Mus musculus: one gene and its partners. The protein of the gene in region 2 purifies or fractionates together with the protein of the main gene of each other region. This does not show direct contact. Links are inferred from orthologs where the notes say so. Each region holds a gene or a part of one and is shown on either strand. Other genes may lie near its edges.

What was found. The genes of interacting proteins can lie anywhere in the genome.
Region 1: the proteins of Otud5 (region 2) and Mapk1 purify together in Homo sapiens (affinity purification with mass spectrometry; 3 studies listed by BioGRID, with this or other methods). This does not show direct contact. The link is inferred for Mus musculus from reciprocal best matches to the Homo sapiens genes OTUD5 and MAPK1.
Region 3: the proteins of Otud5 (region 2) and Ctps2 purify together in Homo sapiens (affinity purification with mass spectrometry; 3 studies listed by BioGRID and IntAct, with this or other methods). This does not show direct contact. The link is inferred for Mus musculus from reciprocal best matches to the Homo sapiens genes OTUD5 and CTPS2.

What each region holds. Positions count from the first base shown.
Region 1 is NC_000082.6:16,981,841-16,986,191, forward strand, and holds the start of Mapk1 (mitogen-activated protein kinase 1), read left to right. Parts: upstream 1-1,541; 5' UTR 1,542-1,786; coding exon 1,787-1,899; intron 1,900-4,351. UniProt on the Homo sapiens protein: Serine/threonine kinase which acts as an essential component of the MAP kinase signal transduction pathway. MAPK1/ERK2 and MAPK3/ERK1 are the 2 MAPKs which play an important role in the MAPK/ERK cascade.
Region 2 is NC_000086.7:7,869,264-7,872,906, forward strand, and holds part of Otud5 (OTU domain-containing protein 5), read left to right. Parts: intron 1-2,732; coding exon 2,733-2,936; intron 2,937-3,643. UniProt on the Homo sapiens protein: Deubiquitinating enzyme that functions as a negative regulator of the innate immune system. Has peptidase activity towards 'Lys-48'- and 'Lys-63'-linked polyubiquitin chains. Can also cleave 'Lys-11'-linked ubiquitin chains (in vitro).
Region 3 is NC_000086.7:162,900,266-162,904,369, forward strand, and holds the start of Ctps2 (CTP synthase 2), read left to right. Parts: upstream 1-1,294; 5' UTR 1,295-1,482; exon of another isoform or gene 1,483-1,649; intron 1,650-1,905; exon of another isoform or gene 1,906-2,115; intron 2,116-2,306; exon of another isoform or gene 2,307-2,411; intron 2,412-3,168; coding exon of another isoform or gene 3,169-3,207; coding exon 3,208-3,373; intron 3,374-4,104. UniProt on the Homo sapiens protein: Catalyzes the ATP-dependent amination of UTP to CTP with either L-glutamine or ammonia as the source of nitrogen. Constitutes the rate-limiting enzyme in the synthesis of cytosine nucleotides.

The DNA.
Region 1 (4,351 bases), on a different chromosome or scaffold from region 2:
GTAGCTGGTCTCAAGAGTCTTTGCAGCTCACCTGAGCTCCATCTCAGAGGGACTCTCAGCTTTTATTGCTTACTCTGGTGGGAGGGGCCTAGTGAATCTGGTCAGTTTTAAGGACTTCCTGAAACTCCTTTGAGTTTTTTGATTGGTTTTGTTTTTTTGAGACAGGGTTTCTCTGCATATTCTTGGCTATCCTGGAACTCACTCTGTAGACCAGGCTGGCTTCCAATTCATAAGCGATCTGCCTGCCACTGCCTCACAAGTGGTGGGAATCAAGGTGTGAGGCACCATGCCGCCTTGCTGCTTTTAGTTTTTAGTTTACTATTTCAGAAGCTTCCCCTCAAGTTAGAATGTTTCAAGTTCATAGAATGTTTCAGTCCTTCAGGAAACTGTTGCACAACACCTGGACCCGAGTCCCCAAATTTCTATGTCTTTTTCCAGTGTCCCTACCCACAGCTCTCTATACTTTCCCTTGGCTTTTTATTTCTTCACAACACTTAAGTGCAAATATTGTATTTTGTCTGTCTTTTCACTCTGGAAGCATGGCTGGCTCCAGTGCCGTAGATATTCAGCAAATCTTCTTGAACAAACCTCTAATTAGGGGATTCAATGTCTTGTGTTTTGGTTTCTGCTTACTTATGTCTCACACTGTTAGGTGTGTGTCACGGGCAAGAAGGTAGATATATGTAGTTAGTATAACAAAAGTTATATTTTATTATGCTGAAGGTCATCATGCAAGGTTTACAGTCTAAATTTCTTACAGTCCTAAGCCTGTCTCCCCAAGGTCACCTGTGTCACCTATCTTAGCTTCAGATCAGGTTTCTGATTTGAGGATCAGGACCCTGGCGGGGGGGGGGGGGGGGGGGGGGGAGTGGATTCTCTAGCCACAGAGCAGATCAAGGTGTATCTCTCCAGATGTGTAGAGCAAATCACTGCTTTTGGTCTCTGCTTATATTCTGTCCAGTGGGCATCATGGGGTTCTAGGACTGTATCTGGTTATCTTGCGTGAGTGATGTCACTGAGCTCTGGATCAGGAGCAGCCTTGGATGCTGTGGGATTCCTGCTTAATCTAGTTTTATATGTCTAAAAGGCATTTTTTAAAATTATGCTCATTACAGGGTGAAAGTTTTTTTCTGGGTCTGGGTTATGCTTTTTGGTTTCTGTCCCACTCTGATGGTCTAAGTTCATCAGAGTGCACAATGTGGGCCACGTATTCTTAGAGGTCTGTCTCAGGGGTCCCGTGGTTGGTGTGCAGTGAGTCCTCTGGTCTCAAGCCAAGTCCCTGGTCCCGTGTGAGTTCGTTCTGGACCAGGCACAGCACCAGGACAGTGGGTGGGACTCTGTGGGGTCCTTATGCCTAAATTCCAACCTAGCTCTCTAGAGCTACCCAGCGCTTGGGTCTCCGAGCGCACATGACGTCCCTCCCCCGCAGCCGCAGTGCTCCTGCCTCACCTCGCTGCTTCCGCCGACCCGCGAGACTCCGCCCTCTCTACCAAGAGAAGCCAATCAACACGCACGCCCTTGACTCCGCCCTAGCGCCCTTCGACGCGAACCCTTCCCTCCTCCCACTCGTAGCCCGCCCGTCAGGCAGGAAGGCTGGCAGTGGTTCTACCGGCGGTTAATTCTCTCCTCTGTGTTGTCCTCCTTCCTCGTTCCCGATCGCCGGCGGGGGCGGCTACACGGGCGGCAGCGCGGTTCCTGCGGGAAGCGCAGCATAAGTCGAGCGGCAGCCGCGAAGCGTCGAACCGAACGCGGCGGCGGCGGCGGCGGCGGCGGCTGTGCAGCCAACATGGCGGCGGCGGCGGCGGCGGGCCCGGAGATGGTCCGCGGGCAGGTGTTCGACGTAGGGCCGCGCTACACCAACCTCTCGTACATCGGAGAAGGCGCCTACGGCATGGTTTGGTGAGTATCCGCGCTGGATTTCAGGCCCGGCCTCACGCGGTCACCCTGTGCCCCCTGCCTGTGGCTGATCTGGACGCACCCACGGCCCTTCCCGCGCCTTGGCCTCGCGTTCTGCGGCGCCCCGGACCCCTGGCTTCTTGGCCTTCACTCCTGGAGCCCTGGGGCGGGGTCCTGGAGCCGGTCGAGGCTTAGGTGTTGCTCCTCGTCTTCCTCTGCTGCTTCTCGTTTGCGGTTGGAGGGGCAACCCCGATTGAGGCCAGGACTCGAAGACTCCGGGGCTTGGTCTTAAAGCGCGTACTTTCGAGGCTTCTCCCTCGGGACGGGAACGGAAGTACACTGTGTCTCCTAATTTATAGCATTATAGCCACCGCCTCTTGACATTAGATTAAAGCCAGGAATTGTATTAGATGCTTGTCCGTGGTGGCGGCGGCCATGGTTTTGCAAGACGGAATAATAGGCTTGTGTGCTGAGCACCAAAATATTTTTCTTCTCTTCTGTGTACGTGAACAGCATTCACAAAATATCTTAAGTAGCGCTAATGATGCTTTCTGCCTCGGGCTTAACCGTTAATGACACAGCGTTGGTTGTGGACATATTGAAATCTTGAAGTTTCAAAATGGATTTAAATATACCGATTGTGTTTCAGAAAGGATAAGCCAGCATCACTCTAGAATTATTAAGAAGTATTTGGAGTTAGTCCTAATTTGACTTTAAATTATCCCGTCGTTACCCTCAAGAGTACTCTCTTAACAGTGTGAATGTATCCATATGTTTTAGCCCGATTACTGTGATCGTTTCCCCATAACGTTTCAGTGTTCAAGAATAGTTTTTGCACGATCACTTGCAGGATTTCCTGCATGTGGAATGTTGAAGTGTATTGTTTTAACTAAAACAAGTTCATTTATCGAAGGTCTCTGAGATAGTTTAATTTAACTTAGCTATCTTGAGGAAAGAGAAGACAGCCTTTTTCAGATAAGGTATTGAAAGGAAGTCCTTTTACAGGGCGAAGAACTAGAATCAAGCTTTGCTGTAGAAAGATCCTGTTTTAAATGCTTCAGCTCTTGAGCTATTGCACAGGCCTCTCCTTGATTTAATAATCTCAGGACTTCGGCATATTTTCCTGATGAACAAGTCTATTCAGAAATGCATTAAAATTTGAATAGTCATAATTTTAGAAATGCCAGAAAAGGTGTGTTTTCACCAAGTGTGCTAACAAGATAGAATAATTAACGTTCTTTTTTTTTTTTTTTAAAGAAAAGACTCATGAATAGTTATATTTTTATGAGCAAAATGTCTCATAGTATACAATTACGAAGATAAAAGTGAACTGGACCTGCAAGTCAAAAGAGGAATGGAGAAAAAGTACTTTCCATATCACATTTGTCTTGCATGTATTACTACCCTGTACCTGCTGGTAAATATGCCAGTAACACTTATTATTGACACTCATGATTACCCACTATAGGCTCATTTATTTAAGGGGGGATTATTTTAAGTAGGGACAAAAAAAAATTAGGATCTGTCAGTTGAACTCACACATTCCCCACCACCCTGAGAAGATGGATTATTTAGATCCTGTTGCTATTCACCTTTGAAGTTTCCACTTGCTGTGCAGAATTCTTTTTAAAATTCAAATTTTAGGGGCTGGAGAGATGAGTCGGCATTTAAGAGCACTGGCTGATCTGGGTTCAATTCCCATGGCAGTTCACAACTGTCTGTAATTACAGTTCCAGAAGATGAGATGTTCTCATAGAGATGCATTCAAGCGAAACATTCATATGCATAAAATAAAGTTAATTCATTTTTTTAAGACAGGGTTTCTCTGTGTTGTTGCCCTGGCTGTCCTGGAACTCAGTTTTTAGACTAGGCTGGCACCTGCCTCTGCCTTCCACCTGGCACCTACAAATTTTAATTTTAAGAAAAATGCAGATGTAATTGGAATTTAAATCCTAACATCAGCCTTTTATCTCCAGATTGATAACATATCTTAGGTATCTTAGTATTTATTTAATAGTCTTAATTGTATGTCATTAGCATCTCATCAATGTTGAGTTTATGGCAGCTTCTTAAGTATCTACTTGAATAGTTGTGATCTTTAAAAAGTTGGAGAGATGGCATAGTGGTTGAATATCATCTGCTGCTTTTGCAGGACCTAAGCTCAGATTCCTGCATCTACATTAGATGACACTCCTACCCAACCCCTGGCTTCCAAGGGCATCTACACTCACGTGGTGCATAGAAAACTCACTAGGGGACACACACTAAAAACTGAATTTAAGAATAACTCTTTTAAAAAGATTATTTAAGGGATTTTAAGCTGTTCTTTAGCAAGATTTCCCTAAAACAGTTCTCCGGGAATAGTGCCTATCTGTTCAAGTTCCCTTCCTAGTCATTATGTAGAAGACAAAAAGATAAAATGTGGGGGTGGGGTGCAGGATAGATATAGCTCAGC
Region 2 (3,643 bases):
TTTACATTTGTTTTGGGGAGGGGTTTGTGGAGGTCTCTCTGTTCATCAAGCTTGGTGCAAAGCCCCCTTCCTCCTTGAGAACAGTGTTCTCAGTGTACAGTTTCCATCTAGTCTCTTCCCAAGGAACAGAGACTTGGGTAATCTGTTACCATGTGTGAACCAGTATTAATACATGCCTACTAGCCTGACGTTACTGCCTCATTCCTCCCACTTGTTTTGATGATCTCAAAAATTTTAAGGAGAACCATTCAAAAGTATTGCAGGGAAATTATTTTTTTTTCCAGCATTTTTCTAATGATTTTAACTTTGATATTGGGTTCGGGCAGAAGAGCACAGATATCAAGAATATGTGTTAGGAATATGATCATGACTGTTGATGTTGTCTGGCAGAAGTCATAGGAATTTTCCCACCTTTTGACTGCTGTAGTGTTAGGAAGGAAGTCATACTTAAGGAAAGGGAATTATGTCTGTCTTCCTGAATTGATGTTAATGTGAGCTTAGGGTTAGTGCTGCTATATCTAGTTAAAATCCCTTGACCATTTGCCTCCTTCTAGCCTTTTTCTTGAGTAAATTTCCCTTTTCCTGAGTAAATTTTCACTTTAAAGTTTAGAAAACTTTCCCCATCACCCAGCAGTCATTTACATGACTGCTATTTACATATACGGGTATAAGCTGGGGCAGACTCATTAACTGGACCCCCTGGAGTCCGGTGATATCTGCAGTTCTTTTTATGTTTAGTGTTACTGATTCTATTCATTTTTAAAGTGCCCAAGGCCACCACCTGCTTGTCTTTGCATACATTTGTAATTCATTTAGGTGGTTTTGTCACTGGGAGCCTTACTTCTTAACTAATCTTTAAAAGGCGATTAGCATACATTAAGGATTAGTCTTTGTTTTGTAAAGTTCCTTGGGTTTTGACAGATGCATAATAATACCATGCATCTATCTTAGGCACCTATTCATTCAGCTAGTTTCAGCCCCTAAAGGTTCCCCACGCTTTCTCCTGCAACCACTGATCTTTATTGACTGCTTTTGCCTATTTCAGAAAGTCACGTAATTGCAATCATAAGTATGTAAGCTTTTAAAAATGCTGCTTTCAGGTAGCAATATGCATTAAGGTTCTTCCCTGGTTTTTCATGGTTTGTTAGCTATTCTCTTATCACTGTTCCATTTGTGGAGGCACACTGTTGGTTTAATCATTCACCTATTTGAAAGATATCCTTGCTTGCTTCCAGGTTTTGATGATTATGAACAAAGCTTCTGTAAACTGCTGTGTTCAGGTTTTTGTAGGAACTTAAATTTTATGATTAGTTGTATTAATATCTGGAAGCAAGATTGCAGAATTATAAAATCATGCTGTGATTTGTAAGCAACTGCTAGACTATTGTATGAAGTGGCCTGATTTGTTCCAGTCGCCATCACAATGAATGAAAGTTCCATTCCTCTTCTTTCCCAGCAATTCATCTTTCTACTTTTTTTGAATTTTAGCCATTCTCAGTGTTTTTTTTAAAGGCTCCTTGATTGTTAAATGTGTTGAACATTGTTTTAATGCTCTACCACTGAGCTTGGTCCCCAGCCTGAGTATTGGTTACATATGTCCATTGGCCATCTCTATATCTTTTACCTGTGCGATTAGATCACTTACCTACTTTTCATTTTTGTCATTTTGTAGTGCTAGGAATTAAACCCATGTTTTTGTGTATGCATTCATTATCACTGAGCTGGCCCTATTTTTAAATTGGCTTGATCTAACCTTTTTATACATGTATTTCCCCTGGTGTGCTCCATGATAGAAAATTATGTTGTTTAGCATACATGCATTTATGTATGTTATGTATGTGCATTTGAAAATGATGTTGCTAGGGACATGGTGGTACATGCCTGAAATTCTAGTAGTCTTGAGGCAGAGGAAGAGAATTGTGAGTTCAAAAACCTAATGACTGGGCTGCATACCAAGTCATTGTTTTTGGAAAACAAAACATTAACCAAAATTTTAGGAAGTAGTATTTGCATTTAATCCCTGAAATATACTTTGATGTTCTCTATTATTTCATTAGCATCATGCCTGTAATCCCAGCACTTGTGAGCCTCAAGCTGGAAGGCAAATTGCCATGAATTCCAGGCCAGCCTGGCCTTCTTAGTGAGTTCAAGATCAGTCCAGGCAATGGCCCTCTCTCAGAAAGCAACTAATGTTGTAGTGTCTTAAAACTTGATGCGAACTTGCATGAGAATACAGTGTCCTAGCACCCACACGATGCCAATACTGACCCTTTAATTCCTCACATAGCCATACCCAGCCTCATATACGCTTGATTCCTGCCTCCACTCCATGTCTGTACTTCTCTGTTCATCTTTTTCCTTTGCCTTATCTGGGAATATATGAGAAAGGCTTCAGCATTGTGAAATTGAATCATTGCTAGATGAGGCTTCTTTAAATGAAGGCCTAGACAGAAGAGCCCCTCTTATCTCCAGACTTAATGCTTCACTTGAGGTGTCTTGGGTTTGGGCCCATATATCTGACCATAGCAGTTCAGATTGCCAGGTCTTATATCTAAGCCTGCTTTCTTCAGTTATGGATGGTTCTATACACAATCCGCTGAGGAGTGCTTTGTAAAAATAACTTCTATGTTGTCTTTGCTAAGGCCTGTAGGCCTGCCTTTCTGAGCCCATTCAGGCTCTTACCCACGTTCAGAGCATCACCGCACATCCCTGTTCCTCTCCCCCCCTGGCAGTTTGCAGAGCAGTCCCTGATGAAGAATGCCATAAAGACATCAGAAGAGTCATGGATTGAACAGCAAATGCTGGAAGACAAGAAACGAGCTACAGACTGGGAGGCCACAAATGAGGCCATAGAGGAGCAGGTGGCTCGAGAATCTTACCTTCAGTGGCTGAGGGATCAAGAGAAACAGGCCCGCCAGGTCCGGGGACCCAGCCAGGTGGGTCATGGACTCTGTCATTGGCCTGACCAAGACCTGTTACTTCTTATCTTTTGACCCCTAATTGACAGGGATAAAATAAGAGATTTTGACATCTGGGAGAAAGGGAAGCTCCCAGCCCCATCTCTAACTCATCTCATCTTTAGTCTTGGCATCGTACCTTGGAACTCTCAACACTTGATTTTAAGAAGTGAAGGAGAGCCAGCTCTTAAGAAACGAAGAGAGCAGCTACCACTGCTGGTAGCACAAAGGAACAATGGATAGCTACAAAGAGAGCAGCTTTTTTTGGAATCCCTTTGCATGCTGCATTCTGTCCTGAGGATATAGTCTTTCCTTCACTATCTTCAGTGATCCTGTCTGTCTGTTGAGGCAGATACGGCATTGGTCAGGCCTGTGACTCTGGTTGTACAAGACCAGGAGAGGTGGAGGATCCAGTCGGTTGTATTTCTAGGATAGCAAGCAGGGAGGCAGGCGCCTGGGGAATCACAGAGGGCTTTAGAATGACTAAATGGTTCCAGAAGCTGAATAATCTGATCAGCGAGTATTTACTATACGCCTGTGACAGGAAGCAGGAGGTCCTATTCCTAGTGTAGCGGGCTACATTGTGAACCTAGCAGGCCAAAGTACCTATCCTTAGGCTACTCACAGTTTTACTAAGTGAAATAAAATGCTCATAATGAATAAATTAGTTGGAGGTATGGTGGATG
Region 3 (4,104 bases), about 160 Mb from region 2:
AACTTGCCTTTCTCTGAGTCCCAAGTGCTGGGATGACTGATGTGAGCCACCAAGCCTGGCTTTCCTTTGAAATCTTGCCTTCCAATATCATACCCTCTGCTGCTAAACTTGCTGGGGCTTTTGCCTTCTTCAATCCCTCTCTTTCCCGTTTTCCTGCTGTCCAATAGGCTCTGGTGGATTTCAGTCTCTGACCTCCAGGATTAGACCTTTGGCCCTCTACTACATTTACATTCTAAAGAGGCTCCCACTTTGCCCTACTTGACACAATTCATAAAACTGGTTTTGTTAGAGATCTAGATTTATATAGATTACAACTGGCTTTTCGTTCGTAGTTGTGTTTCTAAACTCCACGAGGTCTTCAGTAACGTTTGTCTAAGTTTTGAGTCCTGTTTTATCCTTGTTACTCAAAAATCTCATGGTCATTTGGGAGGCAAGGGCAGGAGATTATTCTAAGTTTGAGACGAGCCTGGTCTGCATACAGATCTCCAGGAGAGCCAGTGACACAATGCACCTCTTACTGTTGCTGAGGTCTCACATAACCCAGACTGGCCTGGAATTTACTAAGTATTCAAGGGGGATCTGGAACTTCTGTTTCCTTTTGTTTCCATGTTCCGTCGCTGCAATACAGTTATGTACTACCATGCGTTTGATGTAGTGTATTAAGATACAGTGTGATCTTTCTTGTATTTGCTAGGCAAGCACTCTACCAAATGAGCTACATCTCCAGTCCTAGCCTGTCTTAAAAACCAAATAAAATAAAATAAAATAAAATAAAATAAAATAAATTCGCGGCTTTTCTAAAACGTCTGCTCCCTTCAAACCTGTGTCCAGTTAGATCTTTTATTTTTCAGTTGTTTTTCCTCCTTTCCTACACCTGAAACAGCCTTGGGTGTCCTTTGCCACACTTATCTTTTAAACACTCCCCCAAAGTCGCTTTGGAAGCCTTCTCTCCTACTTAGCTCTGCTCCTCCTCTCTTCCTAACTTTGGGCTAATGAAGTTCATTTACCAATGAACATGTAGATGGGCAGTGAGCTCCTAGGCAAGAATTCTGCTTTGTTTTCCTCCTTTCCCACCTTTTGCGGTGGTGGACCGCTGGGCTGCACTGTAGCAGATGGTCAAACATTTATGGTGAGTGAAGTTGGCGGGAGAATCCAAGCAAGGGGCTAGGCTAGTCGTGGGGTGGGGGTGGGGGTTCAGAGCAGTCCTGGAGCCTTCAGGGGCTGGCCTGAAGCTAGCTAACCACAGGAGGGAGGGGAGGAGGAAGGGGGTAGGGAGGGGGAAAGGGGGGAGGGAGGGGCCGGCCCATACTGTGGCCTGGGGCCAAGGACGTCTAGAGCAGAGGGTGATGGGAGCTGCCTGTGCTATAGGAAACACTTTTTAGGCGCTTGTTTTGTACTGTCCCTGGAACCCAACGCTGCAGCACTCGCAATTTCACAACCAGCGTGAGTCAGCTGGGCCGGCTGCCGGACTGCGAGGGGAAGGTGGGTGAGGAGGGCTCCTCAGTCCCTGGGGGCAGGCAGGATCGAGTGGTGACCAGAGAGCCCTAGATGCGGTCCCTGCACCCGTAGGACAGGTGAGCGCCAGGCCAGGCTGGCCGCTGGGTGGAGCCGCGTGAGCCACCCTCCAGGGCGCCCTCGCCACTGCACAGGTAACACCCCTCCTGGGCCTCTTCCCCTCCGGCCTCGGTGCCTAGAACACCATTTGTCCCCCGGGACCATTTCGGCCTTGCCCGCAGCACATTTGGGGCCTGGGCAGTTTTGTCCCCTTATAGCTGGTGCCCACGCCCAGCCCACAGCCATTCGCATCTCCCACATAGTGTTCGAAAACCTAGGCGATCCAATGGGCCTTGGGGACAGGGTGGGGGTGGGGTAAGGACAACACCCACTAGTGCCGGGTGCTCAGTCAGAGCCTGTCTCCTGGAGGTAGCTAGTGACCCGGGCTCCAAATCGGCGCGTCCCTGGGGTGTGCCTCTCCGCGCTGGATTTCACACCCCAAGCCCTATTTTTCTCTGCTTTGTGGAGCCCCGAGATGGCGTTGGCGGAAGTGAAACCACGAGACAGTGGGGCGAGCTCCGCGGGGACGGTTTTGAGTAGGCTTTCTGCACCAGCGTACAGGTTAAACAACAACCCTTCTAGCTGGCATGCTAAACTCTACCACCTGGGGGAGGCGGATGACGTCTTCAAAACAATTGATGTGTACTTTATGCTCTTGAAATGTGCCATTTCACATCAGGTCTGTGGGGTTTGACTAGATTTAGACCGTTTTCACCAACCTACAGAGGTCCTTGGTGCTCTTTTTCTTCTAGACAGTTCATTTCCCTACTCCGCCCCCTTGCACTGTTTTGATGATCACTGTCTTGGCTTAGTTTTGCTCATCACGTCATAAATCGGACATAAATCGGGCTTATCCTGTAAGTACTTCTTTGTGTTCGATTTATATTACTTTTAAAATGAGCATCGTTAGAAAGGTGTCTCTTGGTGTAGGCCTGCACAGTGGAGTGGAAATGCATGTGTGGCAAGTTGGAACAGAGATGTGTTTTAATTTGAAACCCCCCACTCCAAGCTTAGTACAAAGCTGTAACATATAGCTCACAATTGTTGCATCCATTCTCTGTCTCTGTCTCTCTCTCTGTCTCTCTGTCTCTGTCTCTCTCTGTTTGTTTCTTCTTTCTTGTTTGAGGCAGGGTCTCACTGTGTAGCCACAACTTGCCTGGAACTTGTTGTGTAGACCAGGCAGCCCTTTAACTTAGAGAGACCTACCTGTCTTTGTCTCTTGAGTACTGGGACTCATACTAGCTAACTTTATATTGTTTTTTTTTTTTGAGCTTCTTACTCTGTAGTCCAGTCTGGCTTGGATCTAATTATGTAGCCTGGGCTGGGTTTGAACTCAGAACTGTCTTCCTGCCTCAGGATTATAGGCATTGGCTATCTTACCCAATTTTTTCAACTCTAATTCTTTTTTTTTTTTCACTTCAAGTTTTATTGTGTCTCTTGCATGGTCTGCAGATAGTTTTACAGTTCATTTGCTATAGGAACTGAGCTGTGATCTAAACAATCAATGAAATGTTATTCCAACCTTAATAAATATTCATAACCATGGAAGATGGCATAGCACTTATCCTACAGCGATGACAGTCAACTCTAATTCTTAATTTGGTTGTTTCTCAGATTGCATCTGGGTATTGGCAGTCACCTATTCGCCCGCCAATGAAGTATATCCTGGTTACTGGTGGGGTCATCTCAGGCATTGGTAAAGGGATTATCGCCAGCAGCATTGGGACTATTCTCAAGTCATGTGGACTCCGAGTTACTGCCATCAAAATTGACCCCTATATTAACATCGATGCTGGAACTTTCTCACCTTATGAACATGGTATGAAAAGGAATCTTTTCCTTTTAAAGCCTTAAACTTTATTTTTGCTATACTAAATACACATACTTTGCAATGATTTCTTCTCTGTGTGTGTTTTTAAATTTGTATTTATGTGTATATGTGTCTGTATGTGCTATGTGTTTGCAGGTTCCTACAGGGGCTGGGAGGGAGAAGTTCTGTGGAACTGGGTGAAGTTACAGGTGGATGTGAGCTATGGGTACTTTGGGATCTTAACTCTGGTATTCTTCAAGAGCAACAGATACTCCTAACTGCTACGCTGTCTCTGGCCCCTTGTCTTGTGTTTTGTGTAACTTCTCTAGGATAGACTTCCAGAAGTAGACTTGCTGGATCATACCTTAGAACTGTGTGAAAATTCTTATGGCCATTGATCCATTTTTCAGATCACTAATGGCATTCCACACAGTCAAGTCTTTGGAAATGGACCATTTTCTATAGACTTGGGTTTAGTTTATTTTATCATAAAGGTAATACATTCCTCTTACCATTTTCCACTGCTGAAATAATTGTTATAAATATTGACTTTATTTTAGGTGTCTTGTGGGGGAGGGTATGCATGCATGAGTATATGTGTGGTTGAGTGTGTGTGTGTGTGTGTGAGAGAGAGAGAGAGAGAGAGAGAGAGAACACACCAATGAATACCGAGGAAAGAGGTTGATTTCAGATGTCTCCCTTAGTCATTTCCACCTTATACTTTGAGGTGGGCTCTCTCA